Drosophila melanogaster: one gene and its partners. The gene in region 1 interacts genetically with each later gene. Each region holds a gene or a part of one and is shown on either strand. Other genes may lie near its edges. The genes, in order: RasGAP1, aop and sty.

Region 1 (3,756 bases):
TGTTTTACTTTTTATGTTTCAACAGGAAATGTAAAACCACCAAAAAACAACCGCAAGTTTATTTTTCGTCTATCTCTTGCAGTCTGCTTCGCTCTCGCTTCAGAATGAAGTGGATGGCAGAATGGAGAGGAAAAGTGAGAGAGCGTCATTCATTCATTTGACCTCTTGCCAATATATAGTAGGCCATTAATCGATGCTCTTTTCGCTTGTTGCTTTTGATAATCATTCATAAAACAGACACCTTCGTATTGAGAAAAGTACACCGAATTCGAAAATTCCATTCATAAAAAAACCCACACATTGTTGCTGGGATCTCTCTGCCGCTTGTGTGTGTGCGTTTGTCGCGTGTGTGTGAGCATGCGCTGGAGCGTCTCACAGACACATGCTTGATTTCCGATTCATTCACAAAAAGGGGCGCATTCAAAACTGCGGGGGGTGTGCTGGGCGATGAAGGAGGAAGAGCGGTTCTGGGGGTGGGTCAAGAAGCGAATGCCGTAACATTCAGCCTGGTCATCCATTACTTCTCAAACGGCAGCAACAACAAATGTATTGCACTGCTGCTGCACGAAAAAAAAACACACACACACAGGGAAAAAGGCAACAGAAACACACACGCACAGAGCAACACGCGAGTCAGAGCGGGACAGCATGCTTATACACTTGAACGCAATATGCATTTCTAGAACAAAAACACATTTGTTTTCTCAATTAATCGACTTTCTTTGCCTCAACTCGCACAAATTTCGGTTTGCCATTAGATTACACAACATTTTGGAAAACTTTTAGACATATTCTCCCGATTCTATGTTGTTTTCTGCTTGGAAGAGGCTCCGCGGGGCAAACGGCGACGCTGTCAAAATTCCAGCACACTTTGGAACATAAAAAACGCACGTTGCTGCGCGTATTTCACTCAACGTTCATGCCACGCATGTTCTTCGACATATTTTTGATGTTTTTGAACGATTTCGCACTCGATTTACATACCAATTTTCACTTTTAATTGCTCTTCAATGCGCACTTCGCGTGTATCGGCCATTTTGTTGTTGTTGCTGCTTGGCTCGACGGCGACGGGCGAGTTAATATTATTGTCGTCTCGCTCGTCGAACATATAGCGCTTCTTCTTCAGCAGCATTGTGCGCTTAAAGCAGCCAGCTTTTTGTCAGCTACCCACTGGGGAACTTGCAACACGCGATTGGAAATTTATCTAACTCCTTCACTCGATCTTCACGAAACTTTAATAACTCGAAATTATTTGTTTTTCTTTAACAGGTTTATTAGCCGGCTATTTGCATTTGAATTTCATCACTCGCTGCAGCGTTGCATTGTGCATTGAGCTGGTGTGACGGGAATATGAGTCGATTTGCCGCTCACGAAATGCACTTTCCCTGTTGCTTCAGGGCTCGACTGATTTTAGTATTTCGTTTTAACTACAAACTGTTTTTTGCACGCACTAGCAGACGTGGGATTATATTATCGAAGTATGGAAAGTAATTCGGTTGCTTGAATCAGAATCGCAAAAACTTGGTTCTCCGAGTTTATTTGCTTTGCGGGTTTACACGCATCCGCGAACAACCTTTCGAAGCGGAATCAGAACTAGAGTGACCGTAGCGAGACGGTTGTATGACTCCAACGAATTAGTGTGACCTTAGCACGGTGCCCCGAAAATACCACGGGAAACGCAAATGATTAATGTTTGCTTAATAATTTGTTTGAAGCAGATATGTTTTAAAATAATTTTTTTATTTTATTCAACAACGGCTTATGCTTATTAAGTTAAGCACAACAGTAAGGTTTTCATTAAAAATGTTTAAGTTTAATTTCGATATTTCACCAGTTCTGGCTATCGAATATATATCGTTAGCTCCAACAAACAGTTATATATTTTGTAATTTATTTAAAATTGATTATTATTAAACACTGAATTTTTGGTTTTTTTTATTTTAACTTGAGGTTTAATTGATGTTTTTATTAATTCCGATTGGTTTTTAGTTGCTTAACTTTGAAACACACTCCGAATTACGAACGTGTTGCAGGTCGGCCGAAATGGAACTGAATTAAAATTTCCAAGCGGCAAGTGTACACATGCACCTCCCAAAAATTTTGTGAATGAAAACGCACACACGCAGCAGCGGTCACCTACACTTAAACACACACACATGTTGCACCGGCGCCACCAACAGCGGAAACAACCGAAGATCGCCGGCAGAGAAAGTCGAGGCATATGCGACTTAAGAAGGGCGGTACAAAGCAATAAAAAACCCTGTTTTGTTTATGATCGATCGTTAAGGAATTATATCAGAAAGCAATGTTTATTTTTAAATTCAACCAGTTTAAGATTCATATCTATTCCAATAACCATGTATCAATAGCTAGTTATGCTTAGCAAAGTAAGTAAAAATCAAATGCCCGGCTGTTTATACCGTAGCGCACATTACGTGGGCGTTCTGGATCGCAGACAGTCCACAGGAACCCGAGGAACTACATAGTACACACATATGTACATTAAAAGTACACAAATATTCAGAAACAAGGCAGTGAAATGTGAAATTCACACGGCATCCGGACAGCAACGCCGCTTATGTTTTTCTTTACGCATATGTTGCTTCTGCTCCTTGCCTTGGAAACCACATGCATCACAACAACAACAAGAACAACAACTGGCAGGGAGAGATCAACAAGTGAGGCGGTGCATCTTATCACAACTGCCGCCAATAAGTGGAAGTGGTCGGGTCAACATTTCGGATGGTTGCTCGGCTGGGTTTCATTGTTTTCGTATGCCCTGCATTTGATCTAGTCACTTCAACTGCACTGAGCAAAATAATTGTATATAAAATAAATTATAATTGTAAATACTATAACACAGTTATAGTTTATAGTAATTGTAATAATTTAAAGAGACTTATCGAAAATTAACATTTCCCTTTAGTATATGCTTTTAAAGTGTATCATAATATTTGTTAAGAACGTTCACAATGCTATTTTCTGTGTAGCGTGCGTAACGACCATTTGAATATGTTGATCATTTCGCTCAACGAAACGTAACCGACGTGGGAAGAAGAGGAGACAGGGCTTTTCTTCTTTTTTTCCGTTTCCAGCTGTCCACTCGATTCCTCCTCCTCCTCCATTTGCCCCGCCCACAAAATTCGAAGCTAGGCGCAGATGTTATAAATATAGTATTTTGTGGCATTTCCATTCGTATGAATGGGTCTACGAGTTTCGGTTTCAGGTTTTTGGGCCTGTTTATAAACCCACTCCTCCCATATTTTCTCATATTTATGTCCGGAAAAGTGTTTTGGTCATTTGTCTAGCTTCCGTTATTATTTCGTTATGAATGAAAAACCCATTTGGACCGGGTTTTTTGATCTCCCTAATTTACAACATTTATTTAGTATTAACTCGATCTTGACGTCAATATGGGTTCGTAAACTTCGTTTACTATTTGCGTCGTGAACAAGTTTCTTAAAACGTTTAGTTTTTCTTATCCACCTCATGTTAATGTGAAGTTTACACATAAATACTCATAAAAGACCCCAATGTGGGTTTTCCTAATCGCACTTTGAATACATTTAAACGGCAAGAGGAAAAGGCTGTTAAATAGATTTATAGATGATTTTCAAGCTTCGATTTTTTTTGTTGAATTTATGGATTTTAAAATATATACCAATCAAGGGCAATTAGTATATCAAAACCGTTTGTCATAATGCATTAATAGACTTGGCAACACCAAACTTATGTTAAAATGAAGTTTCAAGTTGT
Region 2 (3,756 bases), on another chromosome or scaffold:
ACTAACAACTAAGAACTAAGAGCTGCGACTATAGCGATCACCCGACAAGTCGGATGGATCTGAATGGAGTGGGAGGTGGCGCAGCAGAGGCGTACTGGTTGCATTGCAATGGCGAAATACAGATGTACAAACGCTGATTGGCTCAATTGGACGACTATTTGAACTCTGACCCCTGTGCGATCCTCATCGGCAGCTCTGCCCCTTCCGCCCCGTCCTCCTCCTCCGCCAGCCACCCTTTCACCCTGGAATTTCCCGATGGGCGACGCACCATGACCGAAGCTACTAATTTGGGCCAGTGATCGTCGCTGCGGCGATCACTTGGAAACGTCGTCATCGCCATCGCAGCTATCGACGGAAAAGATAGCACTTGAAAAAAATATCTCTATTATATTTCTTAATTAGAGTCACAATCTAAAAGTTCTTTAATGTTTCATATCACGAGGCTTACTCGCTAAACTATTTATAGCCATAAAAATACATGTTACTATTTATTACTTACCTAAATGCCCATTAATCTAGATTTTCTTTCAGTGCATACCCACGGAACTGAGCAGGGGCGTGCAGGGCGTGGGCGGGGTCGTCCGGCTGGTCGCCGTTTATGGGCATTTGACTTGAAATGTCAACGTAAACGTTGCTCGTTGCTCGGGGAGAAACTGGTTAGCCAACTGAGGCGACTGGAGACCCCAAAGCGGATGCAGTGCAACTGAGCGCATCTTCAGGCCCACCGACCGACCGACCAACCGACCGTCCAAGCAACCTGACGAGGAACCCCAGCCCCGCCCCCTTTCCAAAGAGATTTTCCGTCGCAGCCGAGCGGAAATGTTCCAACAATTTATAATTAAAGATTGCCAACTGGTTTCCATGAAGATCCAAGATTTATGGGATCGAAAACACCTATCAGCTAGCACCTCCAAACATTTTGTATTACAATAGAGCGCTTTTCCCAGGCGCGTGGCGCTTATTTCATTTTCGGCCAGGGGGTCGTATTCATAATTATTTCAAATGCTTGAGAGCATTATCGCACACTGATTAGAGTTCACGGAATTGTCTTATCTATGGTTTATGTGCAAAAAGCTCGCCAATAGTCACAATTGACAGCTAATGGGTATGGCATGCTCGATCATTTCAAGTTTCCAGTCACAATAGGTGTGTATGTTATCTAGTGAGAGAACGATCCCTTGGTATTTCGGCGCCCATGCTTCTGGTATCAGCATGAATCGTTTGTTTAAACTTTATCTTCTATTGATTAACAACTAAATCGAGCGCCCCACGCGAATTCGACGCCGCCCACAGACAGCGGTTGCCTATTGAGTTGTTTCGTAGTAAACTTTGGTGGGTTTTAAATTATTTAAATTATTACCTCTGCGAGCTGTTGCTTCTTTCGTTGCCAAGGAAGTGGATGGTGGATCTGTAAATGTTTACGCGCCTAATGATTTGTTTGTGGTCTTTGCACACACTCCTACTTCTCAGAGTATAATAACATAATCGAGATTATTATGGCAATTGTGGGGAATCTGGGAATTTTAAAAAATTACGAACATAAAATACGTATGTTAATTGAGATTATTGTGAAATTATTCCGGAATTGGAATTGGAATTTTGTGGCGCATGCAAGTCTCTCAAGCTCTGATATAAGATTGTTTATAAATATTGAAATATAATGAGCAGCTCAGGGGTGTCTTTCAATCGTTAAAACTTTAACTCATATAAGACTGGCGCATCAAAGCTTCACTGTACCTCAAAATATAGGTCCGATTTAAGATATAAATCTTGGACGCTAAAACGGATACGGATCAAAGCGCGACTTCCTTAAAAAATTATCTTATTTTCGTATTCTTCACCAGTTCTTTTTGAATTGTTTTTGCTGTATGTCGCTCTCTTTGCTTCTCTTTCTCTTTCGATTCTCTCTCCGCATGCGCCGACTTGTTCATGTTCGCCGCCTGTTCGAATCGAATCGGCAGTCAAAAAGAAACTGCCGTGCTGGGCGGACGTGTAGAAGAGTCGCTCCTGAAAGCAACTAGACATTCTGCTGTAAATGGCAAACTAATATGTTTTAAATTGATTAATTCACAATTAATAGAATTTAATTCGTGCGCGGCGTTGAGGAAATAAACGGTTCTTCTTAACTCGGTGTGTGTTTACATTGCCCGGTGTGTGTGTGCGCGAAACGGAAATAAAAAATAAACAAGAGCGACAGCAACAACGCCAACAACAACAGCAACATCAGCGAGAGCAAAGCAACGCAACAAGAAGTGCAAGCAAAAGTGAAAAGGAAGACGAAAGAGGAAATGCCAAAGTACAACAACAAATACACGAACAAAACGCCAGAGTGCAAGTGCATCGCGTGAGTGTCTTACAGTGTGCGTGTGCGTTTGTGTGCCCGCGTCTGCCTGTGTGTGCGTGCTGCTGAGGCGGCGGCGGAAGTAAAAACGCTTGACTTCGCCTTCTTCTTATTCATTTGCTCCGCTTTACGGCTGGCATTTGTCGCAGAACGAAGCGAAAACAAAAACAAAAACAGAGAGCCTGGATTAGCCCCAAAAGCACACAACCACCGCCCACGCGGCGCCCCTCACCAAAAGGAAACAGCAACACAAACAACAATGGCAACTTGGCGCGACGCCCTCTTCGTCATCAGCAGATAACAACAAGAACAACATCGAATTAACAGAAACAAAACCAAAAACAAAAATAAAACAAGAAAGCGAAGCAAAAGCTAAAGCATTCTGGGATCTGGACATATCCGCTTCCGCGTTGCTTCTGTCGCTAAAAAGCTCAAGAATCGAATCCGAAGCCCAACGCAAACAGACAAATTCACTCACTCACCTTACAGTACGTAACCACAGTGCACAGTGGAGCAAACAGGTGAGAATTTTGATAATTTGTATACTTTTTGTTGTGAACTGTTAAATTAACCATTGTCAAAATAGTAGCAGAAAAGAGTGTCAAAAATAAAAACATTTTTTCTCAATATGTAAGCACAATGGTTTTTATATCTGGAGTTCTTTTATATTCGTAATCGTGCAAGAATCGGTGTTTACAGACATTACCCCTGTATCACTCCATTGCCGTCGTTGCTTTTTTTTACGAATTGGTTAAAACACCATCTTTTGGTACATGTATTTCCCATAACTACGTCACAATGGTCATGGAAACAGAAAAGTGTCTTGTCTGAGCAGCTGATAAATAATTGCTCCACCTTAATCTGGCTTTGGTTATCTGCTGCATATGACTTCCCCACTTCGCTCCACCCGACGTCTTACAATGTCTGAGTTTTGGTCTCTGGTTGAGGTCAACAATTTGTCGGATCTACACGTGTAAACAGATAACTTGGGCTATATTTGGTTCGCAGTACACTCATATGAGATGGATGAAGACTCGGCAACAACGGTTTATCTAAGGTTTAGTTGATTTATTTGCCTGTTCAGAGGATCTGATTGTGGCGTTTTCATTTGGGGCTTGTTTAAATAATAAGAGTTACAATTTTATGGGGATCTTGGGAGTGGTTTTATAGTTTAATTATTGTTTTGTTATCTGATTGTTGCGCATAATTTGTTGTATGTTCTTCTTGTTTCCAAATATGATTAGATATTTCTTACAGTCTAGTTGGATTGTGATTAATTATTACCTGTGGTTGGTTGAGAACCATATGCAAATACTCATAGCTCAGTCTAGTAACAATATGATATGATAGTAATTTCTCTTCCCAAGCCCAGTGTCTTGACTCTCATTGTATGCACGGTACGCTTCACCGATTCC
Region 3 (3,756 bases), 6.4 Mb from region 1:
GAGTGCATAAACATGTTTGGTTGTTTAACTGTTATAACCAAGCTTATCTGAGTTAAGAAGATTTGAAGCTCGCTTTCTAAAAACTGCTTAATTCATATTCAATTCATATTTTGGTTTTTCCCTCGCTACTGGCTGCTGCTAAGAAAAATCGTGTTTCGTGTTCTTCCGAAAATTCAGAATTAAAACTCCGAATAATTGACAGAACCCATCGATTATCGGACGGAAGTGGTATTGGGAACGGATCTGCTTAGAGAAAAACAGCGACCACGCCAATCGCTGATTTCCAAATAAATATTTTGCACGTGCGTCTCGCTGCCACTTGTGCTGTGAGTGTGATTTTTATTTTTATTCTTTTGGCTGTCTGAAATTGCCCTCGAGTTCATGTTTAGACATTCACCTCGAGGCCAATGTGTTACCTCTGCCACTGCGGCGATTATCTAGGACACTTGTGACGTCAGGCGGGAAAACTGTTGGACTGGGGTGGCGTATTCATTGCGGATTGAATGCACGAAAAGCCATCAGAGCCAAACACCCAGACATCAACTTGGCCAACTTTCATACGGATTTCTCATTGAGCATTTTCGTTCAATGAAATTTCATTTATTTTTATTCTGTCCGTTCGCATTCACACTCATTTATTCGAATTTGTTTGCCCAAAAATGTTTCGGCCAATATACATACGTATATATAATTGAATGGCAGACCACTTTTTGTTGTCGAGTTTGATCTGATCGAATGATTCACATTTCGGTTGGCATTTCAATTTAGGGTCCAAACAATGGCAGATGTCCAGTTGTCCAACTCCGCAGCAAAGCAAATGAAATTCTTTCGGGGATACCCTTATCTTAAAAGGTTATTTTGTTTCTTTATGTTCTTGGGAAGTATTTAAAATATATTATTATTTAATGCTATTCAAAAAGTATCTTACTCAACTTACTCATCCTAAAATAACATTTTCCTAGCGCTCAAGAAAGTAATCCACATTCGTTTTTGAATCCAATTTAGCTCACTCAGCTTTCTTGTTAGACTTTAGCTTTTTATTGTTCTTTATTCTGATGTTCCTTATACATATACAATATATACGTATACAAATATATATGTAGAGTTATTGTGATGCGTACCGCCCATATGTGGAGCTCGGCGAAGTGGCTGCTTTCCGCCAAATTTGGTGCCGCATTCGACCGGATGTCGTTGGAAATAATATTGAAATCTTTATTATTTTCACTGATTAATTTATGGGGCAGTAAACGAAATGAGCTTTGAGTGTGCTGTTCGATTTTAATTTGGGAGCGGTGCACAGGGTGCTGGCTAATTTTCAAATAAGCCCGCCTTAAGGAGGCAGGGCAACCCTGGCCGAACAGCTGATGGACAACGGATGACCTTGGGGGTAATTGCAACAACCCCCAAGTGGAAATTCACTGCCATGGCCAATGTCGAGGCGACGCCTACCGAAGGTCGTTGCCAAGGCAACTGAGTGGGCCAGAGCCCAGCTCATTGGGCCAGGAAATGCAGGCGTGTGTGAGTGGGCGCCCATTGAAAGTGGCGATGCATTCAAAATGGCCGTCAAACGGACGACCTTGAAAGCCGAGTGCTCATTGGCCGGGCCACCGAGGCCAGGATGTTGGGTGGCGGGTGGCTGGTGGGTTGGTAGGCAATTGGAGGGGGCTGGATGGCCATGCAAATGGAGGGAACTGGGAGCCAGGAGCTGGGAACAGGAGCAACCAGCAGCCAGGAGCCAGGATTAGTCCTGCAGCAATAGCCGAAATCGGAAAACAATACGAATGTCGCACGAAGCCCACGCAATGTCGTTTCGTGTTTCGGATTTTGGGACCTTCGGCCCAACGAATGGGTATTCCCCTCCAGGACGAGATCCTATCGGCAATCTTCGGGTGAGGCTGCAGCTCCGATGCAAAAGTCGTGCAACATTGGCTCAGTCACTGGACGATAGTCAGGCTGCATTCAACGTGCAATCTCCGAGAACTTGTGCTTGCAAAATTATTTACCAAATATATATACCCGATATATATACAGTTGTATGTTCAAAGACACAACGCAATTAGCGATTAATAGATGCGCACACGGCGTATGCGTAATTTAAGTGAATCCAAGTAAAAGTGCGCGTGTTTTTAAATAATTAACAATTTTAAATAGTAAACTATCCCATTGAAAAAAAAAACATAATCATACATAGCGTAAGCCTCTTTAACTTTATTACAAATTAATCGTGCTATTAATCAATTAACCAAGGCATCTCGTTGAGTACAGTTGCCACCAGAAAAACAAAACAACTCAATCAACCCCAAAAACCAGAACGAACAAAGGCGAGCTGTACCGAGCCAAAAAAAATCTCTAATCAAATTATCCGCATTATCTGCAATCGAGTCGACCAAGCCGAGGAAAACTTTCAACCAGAACCCATCCATCAAGCAACTTCCCTTCACCGGTGAGTAGCTTCATTGTCCCTTGTCCATCTCTATCAATATATGAACCTTCGCAGTCGAAGAACACTTAAATGTCTCAAGTCATTCATATTGTCAATTGGAACTTTGGATCTTGACTTTTTGTTCTTCTCTTGAGAGCTAAAAGTCACCCAAAGGTTAAGTGACCAGTGCTCATCAGTTGGAAAGGCATTAAAAGTCATTTATATGCCAGTGATTTTTATGCAAGAGATCTTATCGAAGATTTGTCAAGGATATTATAAATGTATTATAAAATGTTCATCCATTTGAATCTTAAATATCTGAGTAAATACGCGGTTGTATAGTTTGTAGAAATTGGGAATTAAATTTCTGGAAAAGTTGAAAAGTCTATCCTAGCCAATATTTTAAAAAAACAAGATCAACTCGATAAAAATAAATTCGTGACATTGTTTCTTTTAGTCAAACAATGATGAACAATTTCCCTACAATATCTTTGAGCTTTGAGTAATGGAATAACATTTAATCGATAGTATGATAGGTCTTAATTTTATAAATTTGTCATCTGTACCCTTTTTCCCTACCTAAAAATCAAATCTTATGCCTGAGCCTTAGAGCTTAGGCATTCTGGAATGCCATAAATCATTTTCACTGCCCCAAATGGGGGGAAAGGCGGAATCGGCGAGGATGAGTGGGGCGAAGTGGCTGGAAGAAGGCTCTTAAGTTAATTTAGTACTTTGTTCGCTGTGCCAGATCATTAAAATTATTTGGCGACTTTGAAAAATTCGAAACAGTAGCCCACAAATACCGACAGCTGAACGAATCTCGAAATGAAATTGGTTTGGCTGATGAGGATGGAGATCGTGTTTTCGTTCGCCGGCTACCCGCTGCGTTTGTCTGCAGATGTCTCATAAACATGAAGACCAACCAGTCCCTACCCTCCGAATATATATCTTTTTTCGAAATTTGTATAATCTGTATGCGAATCATAATGACGCGAAATCAAGATCGGACTGAAGGCTGAAAGCTGAGACACACTTTGGCCTTTTATGCCAGCTCACATGGAGGCTGAGGCTCAGCAAGAATTTTAAAAACTTAACCCATTTTGCAAACATAATGTAGTTTTACATTTGAATATATAAATGGGGATATTATGTATAATTAAATTCTGATATAAATGTAGGCAATAATCATTGTTTAAATCATAGCAAAGAATTGCAAATTGGAAAGTCCTTTAATGATTAAAGAAGTCATAAGAAGTACATTTAAATGCAAGGTCTTGGTCTGTTTCTATATGACTTTGGGTAAAACCAAAGCATCTGGGAGTTTTCCTAAAACC

The links.
Region 2: of RasGAP1 (region 1) and aop, changing one enhances a phenotype caused by changing the other (phenotypic enhancement), as found in Drosophila melanogaster (one study listed by BioGRID).
Region 3: of RasGAP1 (region 1) and sty, changing one enhances a phenotype caused by changing the other (phenotypic enhancement), as found in Drosophila melanogaster (one study listed by BioGRID).

Annotation. Positions count from the first base shown.
Region 1 is NT_037436.4:9,853,681-9,857,436, forward strand, and holds the start of RasGAP1 (Ras GTPase activating protein 1), read right to left. Parts: upstream 1,606-3,756; 5' UTR 1,133-1,605; coding exon 985-1,132; intron 1-984. UniProt on the Drosophila melanogaster protein: Inhibitory regulator of the Ras-cyclic AMP pathway. May function as a negative regulator of Ras85D/Ras1 in the sev signaling pathway. Acts cell autonomously in cone cell precursors as a negative regulator of R7 photoreceptor cell determination.
Region 2 is NT_033779.5:2,176,953-2,180,708, reverse strand, and holds the start of aop (anterior open), read left to right. Parts: upstream 1-1,954; 5' UTR 1,955-2,862; intron 2,863-3,756. UniProt on the Drosophila melanogaster protein: Ets-related protein that functions as a negative regulator of photoreceptor development acting antagonistically to pnt and the proneural signal mediated by RAS. It acts upstream of SINA to inhibit R7 development.
Region 3 is NT_037436.4:3,423,112-3,426,867, reverse strand, and holds the start of sty (sprouty), read left to right. Parts: upstream 1-1,932; 5' UTR 1,933-2,443; intron 2,444-3,756. UniProt on the Drosophila melanogaster protein: Inhibitor of tracheal branching that restricts branch budding by antagonizing the BNL-FGF pathway (BNL: branchless, an fgf inducer of branching).